Linked DNA regions of Neurospora crassa OR74A. The protein of the gene in region 3 interacts with the protein of the main gene of each other region in a biochemical or structural test. Links are inferred from orthologs where the notes say so. Each region holds a gene or a part of one and is shown on either strand. Other genes may lie near its edges.

The links.
Region 1: of the proteins of ubi (region 3) and NCU02375, one has a biochemical effect on the other in vitro, tested with the Saccharomyces cerevisiae proteins (3 studies listed by BioGRID, with this or other methods). The link is inferred for Neurospora crassa OR74A from reciprocal best matches to the Saccharomyces cerevisiae genes UBI4 and UBP8.
Region 2: the proteins of ubi (region 3) and NCU02680 form a complex in vitro, tested with the Saccharomyces cerevisiae proteins (5 studies listed by BioGRID, with this or other methods). The link is inferred for Neurospora crassa OR74A from reciprocal best matches to the Saccharomyces cerevisiae genes UBI4 and NPL4.
Region 4: the proteins of ubi (region 3) and NCU03357 form a complex in vitro, tested with the Saccharomyces cerevisiae proteins (3 studies listed by BioGRID, with this or other methods). The link is inferred for Neurospora crassa OR74A from reciprocal best matches to the Saccharomyces cerevisiae genes UBI4 and UFD2.
Region 5: the proteins of ubi (region 3) and NCU06856 form a complex in vitro, tested with the Saccharomyces cerevisiae proteins (3 studies listed by BioGRID). The link is inferred for Neurospora crassa OR74A from reciprocal best matches to the Saccharomyces cerevisiae genes UBI4 and UFD1.
Region 6: the proteins of ubi (region 3) and NCU07319 form a complex in vitro, tested with the Saccharomyces cerevisiae proteins (2 studies listed by BioGRID). The link is inferred for Neurospora crassa OR74A from reciprocal best matches to the Saccharomyces cerevisiae genes UBI4 and SEC27.
Region 7: the proteins of ubi (region 3) and NCU02978 form a complex in vitro, tested with the Saccharomyces cerevisiae proteins (3 studies listed by BioGRID, with this or other methods). The link is inferred for Neurospora crassa OR74A from reciprocal best matches to the Saccharomyces cerevisiae genes UBI4 and SLA1.

The regions. Positions count from the first base shown.
Region 1 is NC_026507.1:2,712,481-2,716,495, reverse strand, and holds the start of NCU02375 (ubiquitin carboxyl-terminal hydrolase 2), read right to left. Parts: upstream 2,801-4,015; 5' UTR 2,660-2,800; intron 2,569-2,659; 5' UTR 2,235-2,568; coding exon 2,159-2,234; intron 2,103-2,158; coding exon 1,866-2,102; intron 1,800-1,865; coding exon 1,686-1,799; intron 1,579-1,685; coding exon 770-1,578; intron 676-769; coding exon 445-675; intron 358-444; coding exon 256-357; 3' UTR 1-255. Other genes in the region: NCU02376 (metallo-beta-lactamase domain-containing protein), read left to right, coding at 3,802-4,015. UniProt on the Saccharomyces cerevisiae protein: Histone deubiquitinating enzyme component of the transcription coactivator SAGA complex. SAGA acts as a general cofactor required for essentially all RNA polymerase II transcription.
Region 2 is NC_026501.1:3,179,548-3,183,520, forward strand, and holds the start of NCU02680 (nuclear protein localization protein 4), read right to left. Parts: upstream 2,801-3,973; 5' UTR 2,457-2,800; coding exon 2,248-2,456; intron 2,172-2,247; coding exon 695-2,171; intron 640-694; coding exon 528-639; intron 458-527; coding exon 444-457; 3' UTR 386-443; coding exon of another isoform or gene 381-385; 3' UTR 1-380. Other genes in the region: NCU02681 (translocation protein), read left to right, coding at 3,330-3,435, 3,506-3,807, 3,881-3,973. UniProt on the Saccharomyces cerevisiae protein: Substrate-recruiting cofactor of the CDC48-NPL4-UFD1 segregase. Assists CDC48 in the dislocation of misfolded, polyubiquitinated ERAD substrates that are subsequently delivered to the proteasome for degradation.
Region 3 is NC_026506.1:3,143,712-3,147,843, reverse strand, and holds ubi (ubiquitin), read right to left. Parts: upstream 2,801-4,132; 5' UTR 2,526-2,800; intron 2,458-2,525; 5' UTR 1,801-2,457; coding exon 1,779-1,800; intron 1,709-1,778; coding exon 813-1,708; 3' UTR 261-812; downstream 1-260. UniProt on the Saccharomyces cerevisiae protein: Ubiquitin exists either covalently attached to another protein, or free (unanchored).
Region 4 is NC_026502.1:987,965-992,192, forward strand, and holds the start of NCU03357 (ubiquitin conjugation factor E4), read right to left. Parts: upstream 2,801-4,228; coding exon 2,046-2,800; intron 1,984-2,045; coding exon 1,770-1,983; intron 1,711-1,769; coding exon 308-1,710; intron 252-307; coding exon 1-251. UniProt on the Saccharomyces cerevisiae protein: E4 ubiquitin chain-elongation enzyme specifically involved in polyubiquitin chain assembly.
Region 5 is NC_026502.1:1,742,314-1,745,707, reverse strand, and holds NCU06856 (ubiquitin fusion degradation protein), read left to right. Parts: upstream 1-1,155; 5' UTR 1,156-1,373; coding exon 1,374-1,376; intron 1,377-1,465; coding exon 1,466-2,611; 3' UTR 2,612-2,894; downstream 2,895-3,394. Other genes in the region: NCU06855 (hypothetical protein), read right to left, coding at 1-610. UniProt on the Saccharomyces cerevisiae protein: Functions at a post-ubiquitation step in the ubiquitin fusion degradation (UFD) pathway. Has a role in the endoplasmic reticulum-associated degradation (ERAD) pathway.
Region 6 is NC_026504.1:4,379,350-4,383,518, forward strand, and holds the start of NCU07319 (coatomer beta' subunit), read right to left. Parts: upstream 2,801-4,169; 5' UTR 2,464-2,800; coding exon 2,446-2,463; intron 2,184-2,445; coding exon 2,160-2,183; intron 2,064-2,159; coding exon 2,018-2,063; intron 1,951-2,017; coding exon 1,809-1,950; intron 1,750-1,808; coding exon 1,559-1,749; intron 1,501-1,558; coding exon 1,301-1,500; intron 1,242-1,300; coding exon 1,116-1,241; intron 1,058-1,115; coding exon 817-1,057; intron 766-816; coding exon 1-765. Other genes in the region: NCU07318 (mannitol-1-phosphate 5-dehydrogenase), read right to left, coding at 3,720-4,169. UniProt on the Saccharomyces cerevisiae protein: The coatomer is a cytosolic protein complex that binds to dilysine motifs and reversibly associates with Golgi non-clathrin-coated vesicles, which further mediate biosynthetic protein transport from the ER, via the Golgi up to the trans Golgi network.
Region 7 is NC_026501.1:8,519,939-8,524,180, reverse strand, and holds the start of NCU02978 (cytoskeleton assembly control protein SLA1p), read right to left. Parts: upstream 2,801-4,242; coding exon 2,603-2,800; intron 2,462-2,602; coding exon 1,018-2,461; intron 956-1,017; coding exon 1-955. UniProt on the Saccharomyces cerevisiae protein: Component of the PAN1 actin cytoskeleton-regulatory complex required for the internalization of endosomes during actin-coupled endocytosis. The complex links the site of endocytosis to the cell membrane-associated actin cytoskeleton.

The DNA.
Region 1 (4,015 bases), on a different chromosome or scaffold from region 3:
TCCATTCTCTAAAAATCCAGGCCCATGCTTTGGCCTGAGTTATGTCTATGTGAATCCTCTCCATGTACGCTCCATGAACAAAGGCAAATCCAAAATACGCCGGCAAAATATGCTTCCTTGAACGCCGCAAAAAGATCAAGTAGTGTACAAAACGTAAATGAGCCATCTGGCACGTGTTTACTGGAAACAACATCATACACAGGAAAAAAATATTTGCTGCTTACTTGCCCCTACTCGTACACCGTTTATCCGAGCTCAAGACAGGGACCGAACAATGTAAAAGAGAAGATAGGCCTTTGCGTTTAGCACATCAGACTTCTGGGCCAGTTCAACTTTGTGATCGTTAAATGCGAACCACTTAAATAAATGTGCCAAAGGCAGCGGGTCAGCAAGTCTAACCCTTCAGGAACTAGATGTGTGTCATGGTTCACTAGTCAGACTCACCTGGTCGCCAACCCGGCAATAAGAAATGTAGTGTCCGGTATCCATGTCGCCAACGTGCACAACAACGCATAGAAGATCGTAAGTGCAGGACCGCTGTAGCTCGTAGTTATCTTTGAGATCCTGTGTTCGTGCGCGTGTCGTATAAGGCAGCATGTTGAGTTGTAAAGGAAACTGGACAGGTGTCTCGATCTTCTGGGCACGATCATTACGCCCTTGTTTGAACTCGAACCTCTGTTGGCAACTGTCAGCTTCTGTTGTCTCCAAGCGAAGCCAGCGGTAACGGCCAGTAAGGAATGTGCATGAGGAAGGATTCCGGTAATCTGACCTTGAGCTGGATAGAAAGAACGTTGGGTAATTTCTTGATACTGGTCTGTCTTCTTGCTTGCTGTACTGAATTGCAGTTCTGACACCGATACTCGCACTTATCGGATTTGATGTATTCTTCGTCCAAGCATTCCTGGAGAGTCACGCTGTTTTGCGTTCTTGTCGATGCGACCCCGTCGCCATTCGTCAAGTTCTTCTTGCCCCTTTTTTGCGTCAAATTTTCCAAGGGAACACTGAGATCCAAAAAGCTCTGGGCTTGATTGGTGACGCCCCCACAGTTTTGGCACGTTGTGGACGTCTGTAACTTTCCGTAGTATGTTTGGTGGATGATGCAGTTGCAGGTATGCTCACTGCCAATTTCCGGTCTCTTGCCGTCGCCATTTCTCTCGTGTAATTCCTCAGCCATGAACTGGAAAAACTCATGAGCATCTTGCTCCTTGTTGGCTACCAAGTTCTCAAACGCCTTGTTCTCGCTGATCCAGAATCCGGACAAGATATTTGCGGCGGTATAACCGTTCGTCGTTTCGCTGGCATAAAATTCCTGGAACATATCGTCCATGGCACAACTGAGGCAATGGGGTGTGTCGCAACTGCCTGACTGATGCCCATCACTCAGGTAGAAGTTGCGTAGTATGGGATTGTGGAGGAATGATTGGAGGACAACGTTTTGATAGCAAGTTGCTCCGGCATTATAGATACCACGGAGACCGTTAGCCTTGCAGGTGGCGAGGGTGGTGTTGGTCGATATATACTGGGGAGCGTCTTTTACGGGATCAGGGGCGAAGAGTTCCTCATGTTTACGCTTTCGGCCTGTGATAGAAATACAGATTAGTAACAGCCAAGGCTCATCGACATAGGAGAAGGTACCGGGCATAAGCCCCCATGGGTAAGACGGAGAAAAGGACAGAAAAACATACTACCGAAAAACGACCCTGTGCCGAGCTTCTTTAACCTCAAATCCTCAAAGGTAGGGTCCCACACAATATCATCACACATTTGGCAATACACCGCTCCGCTCCTCGACTCAACATCTGATTACAACTGTCAGTTTCCTTGCCCCATGATTTGGCTCCTTCTGGCAGAGGCAGCGAACGTACAGAAGCGATGTGATTTTTTGTTGCCGTGTTTTGTAAGGTCATCGTCGGTGAGAGTCGAGGGGCATTGCAGACAGAGGTAGGTTGGGGTAATGGATGTTACAACCTGGCCATCTACGCCCTTGGCCGTGTGTGACAGGATAGGGTTGATGTCGAAGATGGCTCGCAGAATGGTCTTGTAATGTTGTATGGACATGTTGATCGTCGCTTGATCTTGGTTAAAGAGACGGCCGACATGCTCTAGAAGAGGTTAGAAAATAAGGCCGTGTAGCAGGGACAAGAATGGGCCATCTTACCACATCCATACATTGGCTGGCCGGGCTGGGGCTCCTTGACCTTGTGGTCCTTGGAGGACGCAGCGTTGGCCGACATGGTGATGTGATTGTTCGCTCGTCGAAAGCCCCAAATGTGAAGCCCGTGTGTGCTAGTAGTTCTGAAGGGGAGGAGCTGTGTTCGAATCCGCAGTGGTTGGAGCGGTCCGTGACCGGGTTAGCAACGAGGACGAGTGTTGCTTCAGACGCTGGGGATGATGTTCCTGGACTTTCGGCTCGTAAGAATCGAAACAATGGGTGAATCTAGCTGCAGAATTGGCTTTATTGAGCCTGGCTTTTCACCAGTTGAGATGGCTTGTAAGGGTCGTGGCGAGGCCGGCAAATCGCGTTCCGCTCGGGAAAGAGCACAGTTCCCGGCGGTTCGGTCCAAGTACCTGGAATAAGAGGACTTGTTAGCAGCGATGCACGTCAATTAACGGTCGCGCTTTTTCTATTGGCAACATTTGCTGGTGATTTCCGTCTTACCGTCTATCAAAGCAACGTGTACAAAGCCGGTAAAGTAGCAACAGGGATCTTCTCTGGTTGTGTTGGTTCTCCCGAAGCAAGATGGGTTTGAAGTTGTTCGGGGTTGGAATCTCCATCCGATTTCCGCGGCGTCAACATGGGCAATCAATCAATGGACGCCAACTGCACTTGCATGGACGGCAGCGACATGAACGGCTTATCGAACGCTACCTACGCAAGGCTTATCGATAACGAGAAAGGGGACAGAACCAAAGGGTGGAACCTTTTCAACGCATATAAGTACCTAGGTATGTAACTCTTCGTTGTGTCTGATTGGCCCGTAGCACTCATACAGAGCGTGCAGCGAGGTACCTGAGACGGAGTCTGAGGATCTCTGTACATCTCAACCGAGGTGTCTGCCAGGCCTGCATTTCACTTCACAATCAATTCTCCCAACGACAAGGCAACCTCCAGCGCGAGCCATCGTCATTTGAGAAGCTAGACTTCAGAAAATCAGAACTTTCTGGAGGCTGATTCGGCTCTCTTCCGTGCTTCATGGTCCAAAGGGTTGGCAGCACATCTAGAGGTATCCTCTATCGTCTGTATCGATTCATTGTGACCGATGATGTAGCTGTGTGTCAAATGCCCCTGTCATGACAAAATCCACGCAGACAACAAGCCGTTGATACAGTCTCTAAACTCATCAGTTATAGCTAAGTATGTCAAGAAATTGAAGCGATTCGGACAAGCACGCAAACACCATCAAAAAGGTTGCGTTCCTGGGAGATGTGGTATCAACAGAAAAGGGATTCTTTAGGCCACCACTTGCAACACGTTCTCACAACGGACTTGAACTTGGCGAGCCCGGCCAGCAAACCATCCACCCCGAGTCCGGCTCATATGGCCGATTCGCCAGGTGATCTTCGGAGCTTGCGTGGGTGGTAGCCGGACATTGATTATGTGCGATGGTATCATTGCCGACGCCTCGGCTCGGCAGTACCCCGCAGTCTGTTAACTAGCTCTCTCTCTCTCTATACGCGGTACTCCCACCTCACCAGGACGCAATATCCCACCGTGTTTCACACCAAGTAAGGTTCTCATTCGGAATTGTCACTACTTCCTGTGTGTCGTTCATTTTTTGCCCGTACTACTCCTGGTCCTGGATGTCCTCACCTGTCATCCCGCTCCTGGGACTCTCAACCAGGCCATCATTGTATCGAACTTCATCATCATTTAATACTCGGCTATCTCGCCTTTCCAAGATCCCATATCAACATCTGAAAACAGATCACAAGCATAACCGCAGTATCACCATGTCTTCATCTGCAGTCCAACCGCGAATTACTCCTCTCCCCGAAGTCACCCGCCTCAGCCCAA
Region 2 (3,973 bases), on a different chromosome or scaffold from region 3:
ACAGAAACTATGTTCATGAGCCACAATGCGACATGAGCAGTATCTTCAGCACTGTTAGACTAGGATATCTTTTCCATTACTCAACCCCTTTCGTCTTATTTGATGCCCAGTTCATGTCTATTTTCCATCAAAGCAGCAAAAGTCAACGCCAATGCGTCCATTGTATGTTCTCAATGTGTTTCGCCGAGGTCGGTCCAGAATGAAAGTTTCGCCGCAGATGAAGCTCCAAACCCTGTGTTGCCTTTTGTTGAAGGACCTGATCCCTCAGCTCCGTGCCTTGTGATCAGAGTTGATGGTGACATTATTAAGCCATGCGTATCCTCAGTCCACGTCCATCGAATCCTATTCGGGAGGTGGAGGCGGTGGCGGGCGTTGTTCGTTCAGCCTGACAGCAGCAAAACGCTTAGCAAGTGGTTCATCCGTCGAGTTGTGATTCCTTTGCATCAATGGGTGGTGGCTGAGGTAGGATCTGTCAACCGAGGGAAAACTAGCATCCTCAGTTCTGGGGCGCTTGGGAAGTCTCTCACCAGTGGATTCCAAGATCATGTGCAGGGTCCTCCACCCCTCTGTCGCCCGGAGTTGGAAGGCGTCGGCAAGGTCATGTTGTGTTGCTACGCGGCAAAGGAGTGCCTCCTCATCCTACGAGAAAGAGTCAGTATTCTGTCGGACCCAAGTGGAAATACGGTGAGCTGACCTTGGACAGCACGCTCATCTGCCGGATAAAGCAGAGCAAGTGGAAGTTGCTAACGTCGAATTGGTCGGACTTTTGGTTCACCTTAAGAATCTTTGCTACTGATGAGGCTTCCTGGGCTTCTCCGACAAATTCGCGATTGGCGATAGGGAAGCCGTCATTCGTGAATACCGGCCGGGGACTTTCAGGGAAACCATGGGTCAAGGTGACGAAGAGATACTCGACGGGAAATGCGGGCTTTGCATTCTCTTGGACATTTGCTCCGTACTCGTTGATCTTGCGATAGAACACCTCGGGGATGTATCGCGTCCTGCTGACTGAGCCATCGTCCTCCTCCTCTTCGCGCACCAACATTTGACCGGGGTCCGTGGAAGGTTCGATGATGTCTGCCCTGACCATCTCGACCGCATCGTTCGACATCTGATAGGCCGAGATCGAAATCTCGCCCTGCTCATTGCCAGAGATGACGCAAGTGACAAAGTTGGAGCCGAACCGGCCTGTATCGCTCCACTTGGTAGGCTTTGGGTGCTGTGCCTGGAGCCTCGCCGCAAAGCAGATCTCCTGAGCCGCGAGGAAGTAGGAATCGCTGTGTCTCTTGCAGATGGCACTTCCGTCACCCTTGCCAGCGTCCAGGAGATCCGTCCAGATCACACCCACAGGCTCCAGTCCGCATAGTCTTGCTACTTCGTTGACATCCTTCTCGTTTTCCCACGCGTTGAGAGTAACACCGTCGATCTCGTCAACCTGCGGTGGTTCGTAGATGGCTTCCACGACAGCCTTGACGCCAAGCGGAACAACATCGTATTCGAGATATTTGCCGTAGAGGATACCAAGCCGTTGACATCCCGTCATACGCCAGGGATTGAGGAACTTGTCGATGATCTGGGGCGTCGCGAACTCGACGTGGTCCACCATTCTGAATGGCTGGGGCTGGAGAGTGATGGCGCTGGGCTGGCATTTTGTGCAGATACCTTCGGGCCATTGAGGATGGCCGGATGGACAGTCCCGCTTGACTCTGTAATAGGGTTCGACAAGCGGGGGGATAAACGAAGCCCCAAGCTCGGGCTTGTTTGTCGCAGAGTTGATTTTGCGGAGGTATGCGTGTACTGACATGTACTTGATTTTCTTTTCCTCGAGATACTTTGCGTTAAACGGATCAAGGGGCATGCAGTAATCGCACATACCCTTGGGCCCGTGGCGACACATCTTATGATCGCGCCCCCTTGGGATCTTTCCGTCACGCTTGTCTAGCCGATCGTCCAGAGGCGACTGCCTCACCGTTTCCCACGGGTTCTTGATATGTTCATGCGGAGATGTCAGCGGAGGCGGGTCGATGGGCAAGTCTTCTGCAGGTAGGATCGGTTTGCCGTTGAGGCGGTTCGTGGATGAAAGCACGCTGGATTTGGTGGCTTCGCCGTTGCCTGGGCCGTCGGTCGCCGCATCGTTGTGCTTGTAGGTGACAAAAATAAGATCGCCATGGCTATTTTCAGGTCGCTAGTTAGTGTCTGGCACATAAATCGCAAGATCAGCGCGAGAGTTCCAAGGGGTCAGCTTGCCTGAGCCCAGTCTGGCCGACCTTGAACTTTGCGACCTCGCTGAGATTCTTGGCGTCGCTGCCGGTCGGATGGTTCGAGAATGTAATTGTTTTCGGGTCAACAGTCGGGGGAAGCTTGGGAATGAGTTGACGGCCAAGATCCGCAAAGGTGTCATCTTTCTCCAATGTCAGGCGGAGCATGCCATCGGGACCGCGTACCCTCAACAACATCGTGGGCGGGCTGAAAAAAAGGTGACGTCTGGGCTGTTAAAGGGTCCGACGGATCTGGTCTGTTCCTGTCGTTCGGCGAGTATAATCCGGAATCTGAATTTAAAATGTGTCGTAGGCGTCGGAAGTAGGGCGGTATCTATGAATAAAGCTTCTTGTTGCGCAAAATCTACAAGGTCACGCCAGGTCCTCGGACTCGGGGTAAAGGCACAACTGGTGACGGGATACGGGTGGTGAATTGTTGGTCGGCAGACGGGACCTGATCGAAGGGCGGGGAGCTCCACGCAACGCTGTACGATAGTTTCAGGCGTTCGTCATACGTGTGCCTGGGCGGCGGGAGTGCTGGGGCGTGCTGGGAAGTGCTGAGCAATCGAGGCATGCCTGCTGGGTTTCCAGAAGAGCCAAGAAACTCCCGGTCCCACGTCAGAGAGAGAGCCCAATGCCGGCCCGGCAATGCCCCGCACCCCTCAAAGACTTGGGAGTGACAGAAAGGGGCTGTCGCGGCAGGCATCGATTTCCACTTGCGGCATGGGCCCCTGCCACTCAGATGAAGCCAGCGCGCGCCAAGGGCCGAAATTCCATTGTCAAGCTCCCCCTGCCGCGCTGCACCGTTGCAGTTGTCAAGGTGTTCTTTCCAGGCATGGGCACTGCATTTGATAACCAAGGGAAGCACGATTACATTGCCGTCGGTGTCCATCACTCACACAACCGCAAAAGGCAAACGCATCCATCACCGGGCAACCTTCAGTTGCACGACGACAATCCTCACGCCACCTACCGCCTCTTGGTTCACTCTAGTCGCTCGCTTTCTTCCAGAGTAGAGAATACAGACATCATTTCTCGTCCGTCAATTTGACACACACTCCATCCCGAAACATGTTCAGCGTCGACTGGCGGGGGCTTGTGCTCCCCTTCGCCTATCTGATTGTCCTGACGGGCACCTTCATGACCTTTTCCACAATCTACCGCAAGAGGAAAGCCCGTATGCAACCCCCTACTCAGAAATTTCTATGCTTCTCTGGATAGAAGCCTAACCATGTTGATTCTTCCAGAGCAAAGCGCAAACCTCGCACCATGGTTCGGTCCTCACCTCCAACGCAACGTCTACCTGTCACTCCTCCACATGGAGCCCGAGAACGGATCCGAAAAGGCACCTAAAGTTCCTGAAAGTGTGCTCCGGGCGGCTCTGCTGCGCCGCGCTGTCGAAGACATCCACCGTATTATCCAGATCCGCGCCGCCAAGGCCGCCTGCAGCTCTCTTTTGCAGCGTGGAAGCATCGGCGATGATCTGTGGCAAAGGTTCCAGCGTGCCGAGAAGGAAATGGAGGAAGAGCTTCGTGATGTTGTTATGGAGGTGTGTGTTCCTTTGAAGAGGGTTACCCGTGCGGATGATTGGATGCCAGAAATGCTAATGCCCGATTCTTCAGGCCAACGCACTCGCTCCCAACTGGGGACAGAGCATCTTCCAAACCGCCAACGAGATTGCTGCCAACACTGTGCTGCGCGAGCGCCTTGACGAG
Region 3 (4,132 bases):
CCTTGTTGTGATGGTCGAGAAACAACAATGCTTTGATGAAAAATCTGATGAAAGTGTAATATTGAGAGTATTGCGTTGACTGTAAGAGTGGAAGAGCAAGAGAAGGACAGAGAAGGATCAAGAAGATGAAGAGTCGATTAAGACACCTTGGACGCGGGCCTTACGTCAATCAAGTCGCCGATGCCTATCTCTGCAGGTTCATGTGTGCCCAAACTCCATGCAGTGATGGTTCTTGCCCTGGTGATTAGAGAGGATGAGAGGTCCTTCCGGATGTCCTCTTCACATTCAACCTTCCACAACTACGAACTTGACGTTGGACGTTGGACGTTGGATCGTCCTTCACAGGGGGGGAGGGAGGGCTCCACGGCCGGACTAGCGCGAACTGAACTCGGCGGTCGGTACGTATCTTTCACGTATGATGCATCTTGTCCACCAAAAAAGGGCGCCACTTTCGGCCACGCAACGGTCACCTCGCACGGTGTGTACCAACCCACTGCACCACCATCTTGACTTACACGTCCGACTCCATCCCCAATTGACCAGATGACAGGTTGACGGGAATAACAAAAGCTCACGAATTGAGACACAAGCAAATCACCAAGAGACATCATGTTTGAGACCGTAAATATAGTCTTTATTATGGCATCGCTGTATGTATGAAGCGTGTGCCATTAGATTCGGCTAGATATGCCCTGTTTCATGGTTGTCATCATTTCCCAACCCATGGATGCAATAAGTAACCCAATAAACGCTGAACGCCCAAATGAACCCTTGCTCGTCATCAAGAATCAGAAACAAAGACGACAATCCGCTTACTGGCCGCCACGGAGGCGCAGCACCAAGTGAAGAGTGCTCTCCTTCTGAATGTTGTAATCAGAGAGGGTCCGGCCATCCTCCAACTGCTTACCAGCAAAGATCAGACGCTGCTGGTCAGGCGGGATACCCTCCTTGTCCTGGATCTTTTGCTTCACGTTATCAATCGTATCCGAAGACTCGACTTCCAGCGTAATCGTCTTGCCCGTCAAGGTCTTGACGAAAATCTGCATACCACCACGAAGACGGAGCACCAAGTGCAGGGTGCTCTCCTTCTGAATGTTGTAGTCGGAGAGGGTGCGACCATCCTCGAGCTGCTTTCCAGCGAAAATGAGACGCTGCTGATCAGGTGGGATACCCTCCTTGTCCTGGATCTTTTGCTTTACGTTGTCGATGGTGTCGGAAGACTCAACCTCGAGAGTAATCGTCTTGCCGGTAAGCGTCTTAACGAAAATCTGCATACCACCGCGTAGACGAAGAACGAGATGAAGGGTAGACTCCTTCTGAATGTTGTAGTCGCTCAAAGTGCGGCCGTCTTCAAGCTGCTTGCCGGCGAAAATGAGACGCTGCTGATCGGGAGGAATGCCCTCCTTGTCTTGGATCTTTTGCTTGACGTTGTCGATAGTGTCGGACGATTCCACCTCAAGGGTGATGGTCTTGCCGGTAAGAGTCTTGACGAAGATTTGCATACCACCGCGCAGGCGGAGGACAAGGTGGAGGGTAGACTCCTTCTGGATGTTGTAGTCGGAAAGGGTGCGGCCATCCTCCAACTGCTTGCCGGCAAAAATCAAGCGCTGCTGGTCGGGGGGAATGCCCTCCTTGTCCTGAATCTTTTGCTTGACATTGTCAATGGTATCCGACGACTCGACCTCGAGGGTGATGGTCTTGCCGGTCACTGCGAAGAGATAGTTAGCATCGGTCGATCGATGGTAAAGTGATGATGCGGTGAGCGTGCGATAACTTACAAGTCTTGACGAAAATCTGCATGATGGGGGTTGTGCAGTGGACGAATGGACTGTTGATGGATGAAGCGAAATGACTAGAATCGAGTGGCGGGAATGATATGTGCGTGGATGAACACTCCTGCGATGATGGCGATGGAGAGAGATGGTGAAAGCGGAAGAAATGGAATCGGGGATGCAGATGGGCGGGGAGGATTAAATAAGTAGGTTCAGGTGCTGGCTGCGGCGGAAGTGGCAGGAATCAGGATGGCGAACTTGGAGGGGCCAGGCTTCCACTGCCTGGAAAGGGAAGCGAAGCGGGGGGGCTGAGTGAAGGGGAAGAGGTGACGGGACTGGAGTGGAAGCGGAAAGGTGCCAGGTCCCAAGTCGATCGTCACTGGTCCGTTTGCAACGCCTGCCACGGTGTGAGTGGTGTGTCACTCACCTTCACTGACAGGCCACGCACAAGCCACTTGGCGGTTGGGAGTGACAGAGAAGTGGAGGGAAGGCGCGAGAAGAAGCCAGTCAGACGACAGTTTCCCCCTTGACTGTTGGCTGTTGCCCGTTGGCAGGAGTGGTTGGACATCCCCCCCAACAGTGACCGCGGCTGATTGATCGCACTGTCAACGCCTTCTGCAGTGGCGGGCACTCACCCAGCCGTTTGCCCGTCAATGCGTCAGTCACCTCAGCCGGGCTGTTTGCCCTGCTTCAGTTAGGTTCTCTCTGGATGAATAAGCCAAAGAATGATCTGCATGTGGCTGGACGACGGACCTTCGAGTTTCAGTTGTTTACAAATCCGAGAGTGCCATCTCGACTTCTCGTTACTTTGCCAGCATCTTGACAAGCTTCTCTCCATGTTATTATAATTGTTCCCTCTATCAGGTTGTTGATGGCCTCTTGCTCGATGCTTCACACAGCAGCAGTCCAGCTGGCATCATGGAATACCGACGTGCACCTTGCTGGTTCCCCGCATTTGATAAGCGAACCCCCCAACGAAGTGAGCGGTCAATGACGTGGTCCGATCGAGGGCACCGAGAGGCAAACAGGGAAGAGTGAACGGTTGGATCGCAATTTTCCAGCAATGGAGGAAATGACCAGAAGACATGAAGATGAGTATATAAAATCAAAGAGACCTGTGACTTTGTCTTTAACCAACACCACAAAGAGTGTCACCAAAGGGGTCGAGGTGTTGGTCGTCGAACGAAAGAACAACCGGACGGGAGGTGCATCCCGGCCAGGCATCGTTTCAGCTCCAGACAGTAAAGGGGCGAGTCAGCTGGCACTGTAAACCACAGAATGCTCAGCTGGTGTCACGGACTCACGGTTGGTTCTTCCACCGACCTTTGCAAAGGCTGCTGAGGTAAGCGCTCCGTCTGGTGCGACGATGAGCTTCGTTAGTTCTCCGTGTTCATGGCGGGACACCGACAACTGAACCGGACGGGAACGGGGAGCTATTACCAGGTATTCTCTTTCGCTTTTCTATCGGCTTTCCGACCGACCGTGGCTGTTGACGCCGGTAAGGATTCAAGACCGGTGACAGATGGGAGACCTCCTGACTGCAGTGCCTGGCCATAAGGGTTCCCACCAGCCCCCGACCGATGATGTCGTGACTCCGTTCCTCCCGTTATCGCCCAGCATTATCGTGGCCTCTTTCTTGGCTCCACCGCCCCGCACTTTAGGAGGGTCGCTCCGCTATTGACGGTCTCTAGCCTCCGTTCACGCATGATCCATAGTATCGCGAGTTACCATCATCGATCAGAATGCTGGGTCCTTTACGCACGAGTGTAATATGTACAGTAGAGGGAGGTAAGCTGTGCAGCACAACATCACAAACTCCTGGAGCCAAGTGACGAGTTCCGCCCTGCCCGCTACTAGGCCTGCCAACCACCTCGGGTGAGACCGGGGCCGGCATCACCTCCTGCACGGGATCCCGGGGACTCCCGCGCAGTCACGCCTACAACTCCCGTCTTCGCAAATGCGGGAATCGTCCTTACGGTCCGTTCAATACACCCATTCGGCTCGGGTTGTGACATCCCATGATCAAATGACAACCCTGAACGTCATCAGATTGGTGTACATGATACTTTTTATTGTCAATGCGTGTAGTGAACCAAGTTCAATGCAGGTGCCTGGTTGCCGTTCGCAATCCTTCTCACTCATTGATCTTGAGTACTTATGTACTCGTCTGGCCTAGGCTCTATCGTAAGAGTTGGAATGCATTTTTCCACTCATCCAGAACCAACGAGCCAACGGCTTTCTTTGCGTGGTAATGACTTGCGTCTTTGAAATGAAACAAGTACACACAACCCAAGGCAACTCTACAAGACTCGAGAACTCGTTTGCTCTGTGGCCCTTCCCATAGTCGGTTCCATGACAAC
Region 4 (4,228 bases), on a different chromosome or scaffold from region 3:
CCAGGGTTTGGGTGAAGAGCTTCATCATGCCGACTGTCTCGTTCGCAAGCTGCATATAGGAACTGGCCTTGTTTTCCGCGTCGTGTAAATCGCTCTCCATCTTTTCGCGATCCTCTTGCGAAAGACTGGGGTCCTTTAGCTTTTGCTGGAAGTCATGGATCTTGGGGAAGTTGCTCAATGCTTCATCCAGAACGTATGTTGCATCGTTCATGAGAAGATTGACAAAACGAACGAAGAAGTCGCGGTCCACCCTAGGTCGAGTTAGTCGGATTCAGCAAAGAGATCGTAGGACAAAACATATACTGACCTGCTGGACTCTGTCAACTGCTTCTTGTAATGGTCATTGGTCCAGACGCACTTGATAACCTGGAAGATCTCAAAACGTATGTTGAACTTTTCGTAGAACGCGGAACTGGTACCATTCGACTCGCACTCAATATAGTACTTCATCACAGCATGTAGCAGGTAGTCATTCGCGAACTTGGTGCCGGTAAGGATGTCGCCAAGAATGCCCTTTTTAAGATGGTATGCCGGCCAGGTGCCCTGATAAAGGAGGGTAACCAGCGACGATTTCAAGTACGGGTTCTTGATGTACTCGGAGGATTCCAGAAACGTTATGCATAGAGCAACGACCTCGTCACCAATGGCCGAGACCATGACCTCTGGCCTATGGCGGAAGGTGAACTTCAAGTTATCAACAATTACCTGCAGAACATACTCGGGAAGACACCTGAAAGCTTCTGGCTGAGTTTCAGGCAGCGGAAGGCTGATTTTCTTCCATGGGACGTAGTCGGACTGACTGGCTACTCGCAGTAGCCACACAATCGTGTACTTCATGAACTGTAGTGACCGCGTTTGCAGCGTCTTGTCGGTCATAATGCCTTCGATGGCAAATTTGGCCGACATGGCGCTCTCCAGCATCTTGATCAGTCTCCTCTGCGCCGCCTCTAGCATAGGTACTCGTTCCGGATGATTGGCGACAATGTTGGGACGGTCAGCCTCCATAAGGGTCAAGTTCTTTTGGAAATGCTTAATTTGCTTGTCAAGTTCCTTTAGCTTGTTTTGGGTGGCTTCGGTGCCATACTGATGTGCCGCCAAAGCGAGGAAGAAGACCTCTGTTATAAAGTTGTTCTCCCCTTCGAGTTTTGTAGAGTAAAACGCGTCCGAGTGCTCTTGGTCAGCGTTGAGCTTGGTCTCTTCCTTGATGTCCAATCTGGGCTTCCGCCTGAAGTAGTCGACCTGAATACGGTCAATCTTGGTAAAGGAGTTATCCATGAAAGGCTTGCATAGATTGTCGAGGACGACAGTGACATTGACCATGAAGCCGTCCGACGAAACGGTCTTGGGGTCGACATAAGTGGCTGTGCGCTTATGGTTGACATTCATGATGTAGGCGAACCAGTCCAGGAGCTTGTTTCTCGAGCTAGTGCTTGCTCGTATGAAGGCATTAGCTATCGTCGTCAAGTGTTCCTGATGGGCAGCCAACGTCATTTGTAACGATTGTTGGGTTGTGCCAATTCGGCCCTTGTCAAGAGTCCTTGGTGCGGCAAAGTCGTAACTGGCCGCCTCTGGGTGTAAGGGCGACAGGCGGAAGAATGGCCCGAGCAGCGTGAACCGTTCAATGTTGGGGGCTGATTGCGCCATAAGGAAAGTAGGGTGTTCCGCCAAAGCGTTCACGAGAGCCGGATATCTCGAGTATGTGAAGAGGGCCTGTGAGGTTCCAACGTCAACGCTCAGCACAATTCGTTCAAGTCGCTTGTCAAACTCACCTGGACGTGCGGCTGATAATCGCCGTTCATGTTTTTGGTAGACAGCGCTGTGCTGATTTCCACCATGGCCTTGGTGAAGAGAGGTACAATGCTATCGTCGTCCTCGATCCGTGTCATGGCCTCGTTGTAAAACTCGATGTCGAGGCCTTCTTCCTTCGCAACACCTTCCAAAATGTAGGGGACTATGGTATCGTGCTTTGGGTTTGGTTCTCGACTTTTCAAATTTGGATCATGTCAGCTAGAGCAAACTGTAAAGAGGACACGGGGGATAAATACCCAAACATCTCGGGCATAGTAACGGCGAAGATGCAGTTCGAGAAGCACAAGCGCTTGGCCTCCTTGAGGGCTTCTTCCTTCTCAGGAGTCGACGCCCTCAATATCCTATATCTGGTGACCCGCTTCCAGCATGCCAGGAAGTATTCGAATAGGGGCTTGTGCGGCGGATAGATCCTTCCGGCCTCCATAACGGCCTCTTGAAATCGGTCGATCGACAGCAAGGGCTCCTGATACTCGCCCCGAATTTCCTGGCTGAGTTCTGGCAGAAAGGTCAAGTTATGGCCACTGCTATCGAAGGTCTGGTTCGGATCGAGAGACACGCGAAGGATGCTGGTGAGTAGCTTGTCGGTCCATTCCTCGAGCGTCTGTTCCCTGTATTGCTTTCGCGGTGCTGGTGGGCATGGAATATCATCAATATTTGAAAGGGATCTTTCTCTCTTTCGGGAAGCGGAACTACCTGGTGGTGGCTCTGGCACATCTCGTGACGCCGGCTTGATTATCGACCTTGGCTGAACTCGCGGTGCCTTGTCTTCGATCTTTGACGAACTCGCCGCCGCCGCCGCCGCCGCCACAGCAGCAGCAGCGGGAGGGGTTTCGGTGCCAGGCTGAGGCGTGGAAGAGGACGCAGCTGGCGATGTAGTAGAAGCGACATTGGGGCCACCGAGCTTAGCCAGTCGTCGGGCACGGATCTGCTCCATCGTCTCTTTATCAGGCGCATCCGGCGTGGCCGCCGGCTGTTGCTGATTCGGATCCATCTTGTCGTCGTCGTTGGGCGAAGAGGAAAGGGATTAAGGATGTACGGATATTGTGATTATCGTGACGGAGAGAGCCTAAGGAGAAGAAGGGCTCAAGCTGGCGGTGACGACGTAAAGCTGGATGTGCGTTGGGAGGTTGAGGCGAAGGATGAGGAGAAGGAGGATGGAGGTGACTGTCCGAAGCTGGAGGTTGTCTTCGGCTGCGGGTGCTCAAGGTTGGTACTTCGCTCTTGAGCTAACCACAGTAGTATGTGATAGTGCGGGTGCCAAAGTTAGGTAGTAATAAGGAATGACTCTAGCATACTCTAGCGGAAAGCCCTCGGATAGTGATCAGGAGGAAGTAGCAATTCCCATGCACCTTTTGCGCTGACAAGATTACGTTGACATCTGTGAATGTGACGTGGAGCCTGCCTGCCCCGAACAAGCCTACTGCATGGAGCTCCTGGAGTTCACAGGTTGGCGGGGTATTTCGGGACGTTACTTACATTTAGTGCTTTTGGCGGGACATGATTTACTGCACTGTAGGCAATACTGGTTCGATTGTTAGCTCCCGCGGGTCTTTGGATCAACTTCCCGTCCCTATAGCTACCTCTTAGACTATGCGTTTTCAGACTGGGAATATGCTTCCATTTCTCCAAAATGAAAGAGAACGAATTGGATCTTGTTCATGCCTTTCATTCAGTCCTTGTACGGTTTGGGACAATTCGGAAGACGGGAGATCTCGTCCAGTGTACCAGGAGTACCTCTAGGTACCAAGCTAACAAACAAACCAGCACCATTGTACTACATATGTAGTCTACCATAAGGGGTACTTCTATGTAGAGGTAACCTCGCAACCTAATGAAGCAGAAACGGGCTGAATGACAAGAAGATGATAACTAATTCTTCGTTGGCGTTTTTCATGGAAGGACCCTAGAATCACTAGTATAACGCTGGATGTGACAGTGACTTTCCTTCGCCGTAAATGCGGAATGCAGCTGTCATTGTTCAACTCATCTACATGAATAGGTAAGAAGATTACGGGGAGCCAACAAAGTCAAAGCATTCTAGATACTTTGAAAGCCGTCTTGTCCAAAACACCATGGGAAACAGACCTAGACCATGTAGCCGTTCTTTCAGTTGCTATTAGCTCTTTCAAGCGTGCCAAATTCCAACACAGAGGTTTGATTCGTCTCCTATATTCTTTGGTCTATAGGCTATCTAAGCTTTAGACCAAGGCCCGACGTTGCAATAAGACAACCTCCAAGTGCTTTCCCGATCCATCCCAAACGCCAACATACAAAACCTATGCATACCCGTTCTTCTCCTTCAGACCATTATGGTATGTTTCCAAAACCAACAGACACTGTTACTTCCGTTCGGGACGGCTCAGACACTGAGGCACAGCAGCAGAAATATATGACCCCAGTGTCTGCCCCAGGAAGGCGA
Region 5 (3,394 bases), on a different chromosome or scaffold from region 3:
CGGCTGAGGCGGCGGGGTTGATGTTGATGGTTCCGCCAGCTTTGGAAGAGAGGTCTTGCCCTTCGATTTCCGAGTCGGCGAGGAAGTGGACGGATTTTTTGTCCTTCGCAGAGCCACCACCGGCTGTCGTTGGTTGAGCACCGTCGTCGTCTTCCAAATCGCCAAACATGTCTACCTCGTCATCTTCATCGGCATCTTTCCCTGCCCCGTTGGAAGGCTTGTTGTAATTATCCATCATCTCGGCCAGATCCACGTCCTCGGCGTCTTTGCCCTTCTTGCGGCTCTTCCCTCGGGCTTCCGCGCGGTCTTCCAGGTTGTCATTGTCGGAATCGGAATCGTACCCATCGATGTTGACCGCGCCGCGCTTGGTGGCTCGGGAAAGCCCACCGATCACGTCGGCGGCAAGAACCTCCTCGTCAGCTTCGTCGAGGTCGTCATCGTGCGCTGAGGGCGCGAGCGCGGAGGGGTTGCGCACGTCGAACTTGACTTTTTTGTGGGACGGCCCGCTGGAGGTGTCGTCGTCGTCGTTGGAGCGCGATTCGCCGTGGTGGGCGCGGGCGTAAGCTTCGCTGGCGCGTTTGGGGCGCGCGGCGGAGAAGCGGGAGGACATGGTGGTGGCTGTTGTCTTCAATCTCGTGTGTTGGTGTGTAGGCGTTGACGTCAGCGTGTAAAGGTTATGTCGTCTTGATAGAATGGCCTATTCTGCCCCTGTATCGCAGACTTTGTGTAGATATGGCCTGAAATGATGACTGTTTTGCCTGGGTCGACGGCGAATGACAACTCTACAAGTAGAGGATGGTGTTTAAGAGAGGATCTAGATGGCGAATTGGGAATATCAAGGAAGAACATCACTAGAGGTACCTTACCCGTTGTCAGCCCCAACGGATAACATGGAGCTCTCCACTGCCATCAAGGTCCAGAGCGTTCTGCAGTGGACAGGCAGCGCTCAAGGTACCTTTGACCTAAGCGTTTAAGAAGGGGGGGAGCTCGCGCCACGGCAGCACGGTTTCACAGATCTGACGCCACGGCGGCACCTTCTCACCCCGCCAATCCGGGCCGCCGAGGCGGCAGATACATAGAGGTAGGTACTGTACGGTACCCATGCCAGGGCTCCAATTATTACCTAACGTGCCTGTAACTTTCGGGCCCAGTTATGTCATCTGCGTTGTTGCCTTTGGAACCTTCCACGCGGTCAGGTTATTTCAACATCGTCGCAACCTCCCTTTCACTATCGCTTGTCACGCTCTGCTGTTCCGGATCCCACTACCTATTCTGCGAAGCTTACCTCGAGATCTCCCCTCTTAATACAAATTCCCTGTCGTTTCCCTTTCTGCAAAATACTTTACTCCATCTCTAGCAGCTCCCTCGCGATCATGGTAAGCTATCCTTGTCCTCACGCTCGATTATCAAGACAGCTTTTCGACCCCTCTATCTCTTGAAACATTCTAACATGTGCCCATGACAGTATGGAGACATCTACAGTCGCGCCACTGGTCGCTCTCGGGGCGCGCAACGCTTCGATGAGTACTACCGCTGCTACCCCCTTGTCATGGCGCCCGGTGCCGAACGACCTGAACTCAACTACGGCTCCAAGATTCTGCTCCCGCCCTCCGCTCTCGACAAGGTTTCGCGACTACACGTCCAATGGCCCATCATGCTAGAGCTTATCAACGGCTCGCAGGGCACCCACACACACGCCGGTGTTCTGGAGTTCGTGGCTGAGGAGGGCAGGGCCTACATCCCGCAGTGGATGATGCAGACCCTCAAGCTCGACGTGGGCGACATGATTCAGATCAAGACGACATCTCTCGAGCTTGCCAGGCTTGTCAAGCTCCAACCGCAATCGGTCAACTTCCTCGACATCAGCGACCCTCGTGCCGTCCTCGAAAAGGCCTTCCGGAACTTTGCGGCGCTGACCAAGGGCGACGTTTTCAACTTTGAGTACAACGATGAGATCTACGAAATGGCGGTACTGGACGTCAAGCCGGAGACGGCCAAGATGGGTGTCTGCATGATCGAGACAGACGTCAGCGTCGATTTTGCGCCGCCAGTTGGCTACGTCGAGCCTTCGCGACAGACACAAGGCAGTGGTACCAGCACACCACGCAACGGAAGGGCTGTTGGCGGAGGACTTCCGGCGGGTGGTCTTTTGCACAACCAGGGAACCATGGCGCAGGCTATCAACTACGATGCCATCGCACCAGGAGCCACCACCACGTCGGTGGGCAACTTTCAAGGTGAGGGTCTGCGGTTGGCGGCGAAGAAGGGTAGCAAGACGGGAACACCGAAGCCGGCGACGCCGGTGGCGGGTACGTCGACCAACGTTAAGGACGTGGTGCTGCCCAGGAGGAAAAACAACAACGGCCCGTTGCCGTTGCGTCTGCCGCCCAACAAGCTCTTCTTGGGCTACGAGATCAAGCCTGTCAAAACTGCCGCAGATAAGGAGAGGGAGGCGGCGGCGGCGAAGCAGCCGCACTTTGCGGGCCAGGGACAGACGCTCCGGGGAGGAGTCCCGAAGAAGAAGAGCAGCGATGGTGACGACAAGGCGGCGCAAGGCGAGAAGAAGCCGACAGAGAGCAAGGGAAGGCGACTTGACGGCAGGAATGTCTAGGGACAAACTTTCGTTCAACAAGCTTGTTACTAGATGGTTTGATGCATTGTCGGGCGTTAATGGGAAACAGGGTCATGGGAAAGGGAGGTTCACAGTCAAGGGATCACGGAACGTTTGTAGCGTCATTACGAATACACATGGACAGGCCACGATGCGTTTCAAGATAGAAAAGGGCTGTATATGGGATGTTGAGTGCTGAACCGCACGATGTTTACATAGGCCCATGCAGCTGACTAGAATTAGTGAAAAAGGAAATGATACCTCGATGTCCTCCTATAGCTGGAACATGCCAAGGTGATGTTCAACAAGGTCCGCTGGCTCAATGGCAGAGCGTCTGACTACGAATCAGGAGGTTCCAGGTTCGACCCCTGGGTGGATCGAGTTATCTTTTCTTTTGCCAGCATAGTATGCTGCGGCGTCACCAATTTATTTAAAAAAAAAAAAAAAAATTTTAAATTTTTTTTTTCTTTTTGTTCTCTTTTTGATCCCTTGAAATGCCGGAATTTGACTTTGGTGCAAGATGGACATGATACAAAGAGTCCCTGGTTTTTTTTCTTTTTTTTCCTCATTGTGGACGGTGCATCGAGAGCGGCTTGGTCCGTCTTGTCTTTATCTTGAGCAGTCGCTTTGTCAGTGTCATGCCAGGAAGGTCCGGAGTTCTGCCTGCATCCACTTCGAGGTCTCTCCTTCCAGAATTTTGCATCCTTAAAGATTAGTCATATGTCAACGATGCTTGGAACGAATATAGTCGACAACATCAACAGCATGACATTGAGTTCTGAT
Region 6 (4,169 bases), on a different chromosome or scaffold from region 3:
TAACATTAAGGTCCTTATCGGTGATGTAGACGCGGCCATCACGCTGGAGGTAACCCAAGATGTACATGGGCTTGTCGAAGTGGGCGATGGTGTAAGTCTGGTCGCCAACCAAGTAGTTTAGACGGTTGGTGCTGTTGGTGTAGATCAGGACATCTCCCAACCACTCCGCCGAACGGATACTCTCGCTGATGTCGGTAACGACATCAAACGCAGCCTCAACACCATCATCCTCGACAAGACCAGCCTGGACCGCTTCGTTATAGTTCTCTCTCGAGAACCTGAGGACGTAGGTGCTATCTTCGCAGGCAAGAGCAACCAGCTCGCCGCTCTCGCTCCAGTACACCTGCTTTGGCTCCACCTCAATGCGTCTGACAAGTCCACCCGTCCGCCAGTCGTAGAAGGAAATGCCACCTTGGCCCTTGACACCGAGGAGGACACCGCCGGTAAGACCGTCGGCAGCAAATGGGACGTCGAGACCGCCGACCTTGTTCTCGAAGTTCTTGAAGATCTTGACGCTGGTGGGAGACTCACGAATGGCGAACTCGTTTGTGCTGGAATACTCCTTGGAAGCCCACACAAAGTCGAGGGCTTGACCGAATGCCTTGTTTCTCCAGGCGAGCGCAGTGTAAACGATGTATTCGCCGTCGCCGCAAATAGCAGCGAACCGACCATTGGGAGAGTGGATGAGACTTTGGGGGTACACCTCGGCGGTTCCAAGCTCCTTGGTGGTGAGTGTGATAGGTTCGTTGTCCTTGATATCGGCATCTGATCCCTGTTAGCTCGGAGTCACTCTCGATGTTCCGTTTTGTAACTCACCAGCACCCTTGATCACGGCAGATACAACCTCATTGTGCCTGGCCCACACGATCTTGCCGGAGCCATCCATCGACACAGCGGGCTCTTCCCGACCAAGCTTGATGACCACCGAACCATCATCGAAACCAACAGCAATACCCTGCTTGCCCTTCTGATATGACACACACCATGCTCGCTCCAGGCCGTAGTTTAGCGATTGCTCGAACCTGTAGGTGTTGGCGTTCCATATCCTTATCGTGCCCTGCGGTTACGGTTAGTAATAGCCTGCGAGCGAGTGGACAGGTGCAATATCGACGTACGTCTTCCGAACCAGAGATAATAATAGGGAGCTCTGGGTGGTAGCAGGCAAAGGATACGTTGTTGGTGTGGCCTTCAAGAGTGGCGATCAAACTCTTGGTGGTATAGTCCCACACTTTCACCGTGCGCTGTGCCAGTAAAGTCAGCTGTGAAGTCCTATGCGCCAGCAGATGTCAATATAACTCACGTCATCAGAAGTTGTGAGAAGATAGGGTTTGTCGCTGTGGGGATAGTAATCGACGTGGTTGACGCCCTTGGTCTCGTGCGCCTCAAGCTGGAAGTTTGGTGTGGATGAACCCAAGCTCCAGATCTTGACTGTCCTGTCCAAACATGCCGAAGCAAAGGTGTTGGTATCTTTGGGGTTGATGGCGAGGGACATGACGTAGTCTGAAGCTCTGTTAGCACGCGCGCTCTGCTTCGATGTATCAGGCTGGTGGCGCCATACGTGAGTTGCCCTCGAATACCCGCACGTTCTTCCATCCCTTCTCCCAATCCCAAAGCTTGATCGTCATGTCATCACTGGCGGTAAGGACGAAGGGTTGTGTAGGATGGACGCAAATGGCTCTGATGTAGTCGGGATGCGCCTCGAAGGATGTGATCTTTTCGCTCGTGTTGTAGTTGTAGACTCGAATTTGGCTGGGATTCCAGGTCAGCCTTCCTGTCTAGCTCTAGCCCAAGTTCCATGTCGAACATACAAGTCATCGGAACCACAGATGATCCAGTTCTTTCGCGCAATGAAGCGACCAGCGCGGACGGGGACATCGGTAAGCTCGAAGGTCTTGACGATTTGTTGTGTCTCGTATGACCAGATATAGACGTGGCCGCTGTAGAGGGTCGCTAATCACCAAAGTAGTGTCAGAATTCAGGGCCCCTCCCATCGTATCGCGAGTCGAATCAGACGTACTCAGAATCCATGGCTCGGTAGGATGGAAGTCGATGCCCTTGACTCGCTATGTGCGGGATATGGGTGAGCAATGGGAACCTTGAATGTTGAAAGACTGCTTGGTACCGGAGAAATCAGGGGGTCAAGAGGACAGGTAACGAACCTCAGAGCGGGCAAACAACTGGCGCTGCATGTTGACAGGCATGTTAGCAGGTGTTTTCTAATGAGAGATGGCCCAGTTGGAGGCAGCGATGTGATGATGGACGTGTCGGCGCAATGGAGCTGGCCGTCGAGGTGCCGGTACAGCAGACGGAATAGGGGCAACTGGAAGATCCCAGGCCGAAGCTAAGGGAGGTGCAAGTGTGCGCCAGGTTGCAGAATCGGGTTGTTCTGTTGGGTCTCGGTGACACGGCCATGGTGGTGCAGACACGAAGCCTGTGCGAACTTGCCTTGACATCCAGCCTCATGTTGGGCGAGTTTGGGGTGGGTGTGTGGTGTGTGGTGTGTGGTGTTTACAAGTTGGAATTAGAGGACGGGGCGGTCGTAACGGTTCTCGAGCTTCCAAGCTTCAGGTGGGGTGCGTGCTGGATGCTGGAGATGGTCCCTGACCGTGCAAGAAAGCCGCCGTCGGGTTCGTCAGGGGTGAAGCTATCGGAAGTGGTGCAATCGTGGTTATATGTATTTGGTGTATTGGATATCTGGTCCGCCGAAGGGGGGGGGACGTGGTTGGCGGTACGAGGATTCGGAATAGAGGCTTCGGAGGCCTTGACACTTGATTGCGACGGGCCGGAAATGACAGCGGACGGTTGTAGAGGTGCCCGCCACGTATCTCGACCGGCCGCCGCCCACAATTTCGCGGCTGTGGTCTGCTCGCCGCTCGGGCCACTCTCTCCCTCAGGCGGTCAAGTGGGCACAGCTGCCGGCCACTGTCACTTCCTGCGCTCGCCAGCTGCTGCCTAAGGCAACGACCAACACTACAGCTTTGCGGATCTCTTGGCGCCCCCCTCACCGTCGGTGCATTCAGTGTTTGAAGCCATCACCATCGCCAAACCACGTCCAAAGTCGACCACTGGAGATCGTCAAAAACCAAAAGGCTTGGACCAACGCAACGGTCACTTTGTGAACGACTCAATTCCCAATCACATTTTGGAGGAGTGTCACACACGAGCAAATTTGCAAGATACGAGTATTTCAAAACCAAAAGGTCTCAGCGACGCAACAGGAGGCGCGACCGATGACGGTCAGTCGTCAAGTCGGTACTCCCATCCATTTTCATCGTTACTTAAAAACATTATCAGCAATCACCAAATATGGGCTCAAAGAAAAAGCTCGAAGCAGTGATCAAGTTCGACGCACTTTGCATACGACAACGTTACTGGAACATGGAGAAGAATTGAGTGTGAGTACTTCTTATTGACTTGAACTATATCTATCATTGCAAAGCGCTTCTAGTGATTGCGCAGAGACAATAATGAAGAAGAAAAAAGGGAAACCCAAAACCTCCAGGATGTCAATATGATCCCGGCTAAACGCCATTGATCCCAGTTGTATAATGCTCCGCGTTGATATCCCAGAAAGCAACCAAATGAACGCCATATTCTCCGGATTCCGAGGGTCCACGACACCGTTGCCCTATTCCCTATCCGTAAAGTCTTCGCTCATTTATCATAAGACATGAAGTAAGAATGGATACAAAACACACAAGTTGACAGAAATGCTCCATCTAGTCGTCGTGCAAGTCGGCCTGTACGCGCTGTACAACCTCGACCACCTTGGGGAACAGCTTCTCCTGCTCGTTCAAGCCGCAGACCTGCTTGACAACGTCCTCGGGCTTGTTGCTCGCCATGATCTTAGCAAGTTCGGCCGACTCCTCGTCGCCCTCGACGTTCTGGAAGCGGAACGCCATCTCAGCAGCATCGAGCAGAGCGCTGCAGTCCTTACCGTGTTCGGCAAGCTCGGCTGCGGGGCCGATGAACCGCTCCTTGCGGGACAGCTTCCGTAGGGGAGCACGGCCCACGCGCTCGACGGCATCCTCCAGGTGAGGGTTGCTGATGCGCCTGACAATCTTTTCAACGTACTCGTGCTGGGCCTGTTCGTCGATGCCGTGCTTTTGCGTAATGAGGTGGGATGTGTTCTCGAGCGCCTTCTTGACCTCTTCCTGGATGTCCTTATC
Region 7 (4,242 bases), on a different chromosome or scaffold from region 3:
AAAGGCTGGGTAAGCAACGACAACTCCTGCATCGACTTGGTAAGAGCCGCCGGCGGAGGGGGGGCCGGCGCGTCAACCAGAGCTGGCGCAGCAGGGGCTGGAGCGGCAGCGGGTGCCGCCGCAGGAGCGGGAGCAACGGCTTGCGCAGCCGGCTCAGGGGTTTTCGTCTTGGTAGGCTTGACATCCCAAGCATCATCATCAAAGCCACTGGAAGGCTTCGAGGCAGACGGTGTTGGCGTAGCCGCAGCCGTAGGAGATGATGACTTGCCACTACCAGCACCCGAGTCCTTAGAGAAAGCGTTGGGATCAACGGTGTTGCTGACCTCGACGGGGGGCGCCGGCCTGCCCTTCTTCGTGTTGTTGCGGAGCGCACCTCCTGGCCCAGAGAAGAGTCCTCCCTCGCCCTCTTCGCCTTTCTTGTTCCGCATGTACTTGTTGTCCAGGTACCGCATGACCTTGATAATATCACCTTCACGCAAGCCCAAGTTCCTCAGCACAGTAGCATCAACATCTGGCAAGACACTTTCGTCGATAGCCTCCCGCAGGAAAGCTTGAGAATACCGTTCGCACAAACCAACCTGTATGTCACAACCAAGGAAGAAGTTAAACCAGTCGTAGTCGGGCTTCTTCGAGGAATCGATGGTGGCGCCAACCCGGGAGCTGGAACCACGGTCTCTTTCCCTGTCGCGCGTCGATCGACTAGACCTCGAAGACTCACCGGCGGATCGCTTGTTCCTAAGATCGGATAGGGGCTTGTCTTCGTCGAGAGATTCGCCAGTTACGCGCTCCACGTACTCGAGATCCTCAACTGACATCTTCGAGACGGGCACGGCGATCTGCACACCGTTCATCTTGTGGAGCCTGATCTTGCCATCCTTGACACCGAGGAACTGGGCCTCAACGCTGAAGGACTTGGATCGATCGGTCCATGTTCGCACTTTGGAAGGATCGGGCTCTGCGACAAACTGTCAGTATTCTGCATACTCTGAAAGAAAATCTGGACATGGGTGTACTTACTCGACTTGCTTGACGACTTGGAGCTGCTGTTCTGACCGGGTTCGCGCCTACTGCTTCGCTGTTTTCCTCTCCTGTTATCATCTGTGGCCGGCAAACTACTATTTCGTTCTTGCAATTGCAATCCTGGGCCTACCTCAGAGTTCCTCTTCTGCTTCTCCTTCTCTTCCTCGCGCTGGGCAGCCTTGATAGCCTCCTTGGTTAAGCGCGCCTCTTCCAGGCGGTTCTTCTCGACTTCCGACATGCCCACGGCAATACCGGTAACGGCCGTCTCCGGCTCTTCCCACACGCCGTTGATCTCAATGTAGCTGCTGGGAACCACACCCTCCTTGCCGTTCTTGACGCGACGCACCATCCACCACTCGTCACTCTTGGTATCGTCGAGAATAACTACCTCATCACCAACGCCGACAGTAACCTCGTCCTCACCCTGAGCCATAAAATCATACAGCACAGCACCCTTCTTCTTCTTGCCTCCGGCTCCCGCGGCAATGATCTCCTTGAGTCCCTCGAGGCGCACAGTTCCGGCCATGTCGCCCAGCATCGCGACGATCTCTTCAGCGGTGTCCTTGGCGCCCGCATGAAAGTCAACGCTCTTGCTTGGTCGTACGAGCTCCATAAACACGTGCTTGCCCTCCCGAGAGTAGTGTGTCATGCAATCGGCCCGCCATTCCTGCGATGGACCGTCGTGGGAATGTTCCGGCGCTATGAGAATCATTCCCGTCCTCAGGTTGATGCCCAGCGTGGTAGGCATCTTCTTCTTCTTGCCCATCACCGACGTCATCTCGTTGATGTTGTACATGTGGAAACCGCCAGGGGTAAGCGCGGCGGTCTGAGGAGGAGGAGCCTGGGAGGTTCGCGGGCTAATGCCATAGTCGTCGGTGTCGTGGGCTGCTGACTGAGCGGGCGGCGGCACCGGTCTGTAGGATTTTTGCTCCGGAGCAATTTGCGAATCGCCCCGCGGGCGGCTCGGAAGCGGCGGGGACCTTACCTCATTTTCGTAATCTTCCGAAGCGTATGACTGTCGCTGGGGCTGGGGAACACTGATAGGCGCTGGAGGTTGGAAAGAAGAGCGGTTGGCCATAACTCCGGCGATGGCGGCGGCAGCAGGGTTGGAAGCGGCGACAGGGGTGCTTGGCTCGGAGGGCACACTCCTGGCGGGCAGGGGCGGGCTGGCTACATCGACGCTGACGCTGGGTGTCCTCTGCGGAAGAGGAGGAGGGGGGGCAGTCGCTTCTTCCTCCTCCTCGACCTGGCCAGCCTGGCCATCGCCCAACTCGATGTAGTTGGCGGGCGCGAAGCCGTAGTCGCCATCGTGGCCAACAAGGATCCAATCGGGGTCGGAAGTGTCGAAGACTGAGAGCTGCGCATCCTCGGGGAAGGAGAGCTCTTCGTCGGTCTGACGCGTGTACTCGTAGAGCGCGCGAGCGTATGATACGGGTTTCGCCTGGCGTCATGGTGTGCGCGGTCAGTTCAAGTGATCCATCTGAATGCCAAGGCCAGCCAGCTTGCTATCCTCCAAGCAGGTACAAGTGCCCAGATGACACTGCACGCAATCCAGATCTAGACCTCGGACCACATTACATACCTCCTCAATGTAGTTGTTGGGGATCAAGCCGACGGGCTCGTCATCGTCGGCAGCATTGGCCTTCTTCTTCGCCTTCCACCAATCGTCCTCCTGACTCTTTTCCAACACATAGAGAATGTCGCCCTCGGAGATTGTCAACTCGCCCTCGCCCTGGGGCGTGTAATCGTAAATGGCCCTATAGACGCCGAGGAAGCCCATGGCTGCTGCGGGAAATCTGCTCGTATGATGCCCTTTGGATGGCAGCCGACATGAACCGACGCAAGGGAGTTGCTGTTGCGAAGAAAGGAATTGGGGAAAACGAAAGGCGCCGTGGTGCGAATGGTGGCTGGTGGTGTGGTATCACAAGTCTTGGTTCTGCCGGGGAAGGGGGGGTGTGTGTGTGTCCGGTAGGAAATGGAATCAAGGAGCGAGCGGCGGCGGCGGCGGCGGCAGCAGCGTGTGAGAGCGGGTGACGCTGGGTTGGTGACGGGTGACGGGGGTGCGGCGCTGCGGCTGCCGGGCAGAAGGTGAACGAGGATGGAAGCTCTTCTAGAGTGTACGGGTGCTCCTGAAGCAAGGGGTAGCCGCTGAAGCAAGCACTGTAGGTATGCCCGCTTGCGCGTAGGATTGCGGCCGGCCAAGGCCCTCCTGTATGGTACCTACGGATAGGTAGCCTGTAATTTCGAGCGAGGGAACGTCGGGAAGATGTCGACGACAGCGAGCACGCGCGGCTGCGGTGACCCTGCGAGGAATTTGACCTTTATCGTGATCAAGAGTCTGGAGTTGCGGTCGAAATGGTCGAGCCAAGGGAGACGTTGGAAATTACTCTATGTCCAAGTCGTGGACCCAAGTGCTCGTTTAAAGGAGCCGGTCCGGGGGGTGTGTGTTCGGGGGGGTGGGGGGGTTCGCTGAATTTGGGGGAATTTAGACGATGCAACGAAGCGGTCGCGAAGACACCGCGATCTTCATGGATGCTATCACCAAAATGTATATTTATGTAATTGCAATGTCCACGGAAAATCCATTCGAGATCAAATCAAGCGTAGGTAGGAAGTGCACTATTGACCCGAGGACAAATGAACACCTTGTTCGTACCTTACAATTTGAAACCCCAAGAACAGGTACGTAACCTCCCAGCGCTGGAGGTGTATGTACCTAGCTTTTATTTGGAATAACCGCAGCGCATTTCGAGGGTTCAGGTCAACCCCAATGACCGACCAACAACATCGAAGCAAGGTACTGGCGCAGGAACGAAGGATTCTTGTCCAAATTGAACCCGAAAGAGTGAGATCGTGCAGGAGCAAGCACAGCCCAGCCGCATCTCGAGCGCTGCTGGTACGGCATAGCACCTGAATAAGTACCTCGAAAGCGCAACTTTCACTTTGTTACACAGTATCTATTGATTGGCCGTAATTGTGGCTTAATTGTGACAGTCAACTTGGGCTCTTCTTCACGCCCAACTTTCCCATCAATCAATCAAGAAACAGCAGCCAGCTGGTCCCGACCGGCAAACCCGGGCATTCATCAGCGATCTACTGTAACCGCACGTGTAGATAGCGTCATATCCCGGGTTTTCCCTCTTGACATTTGGGCGCTTGGTGGATCGTTCATTTCAGGTCGGGGTCCGCTGGGCATGGGAGCCGTTCAGCGGGTGTCGATGT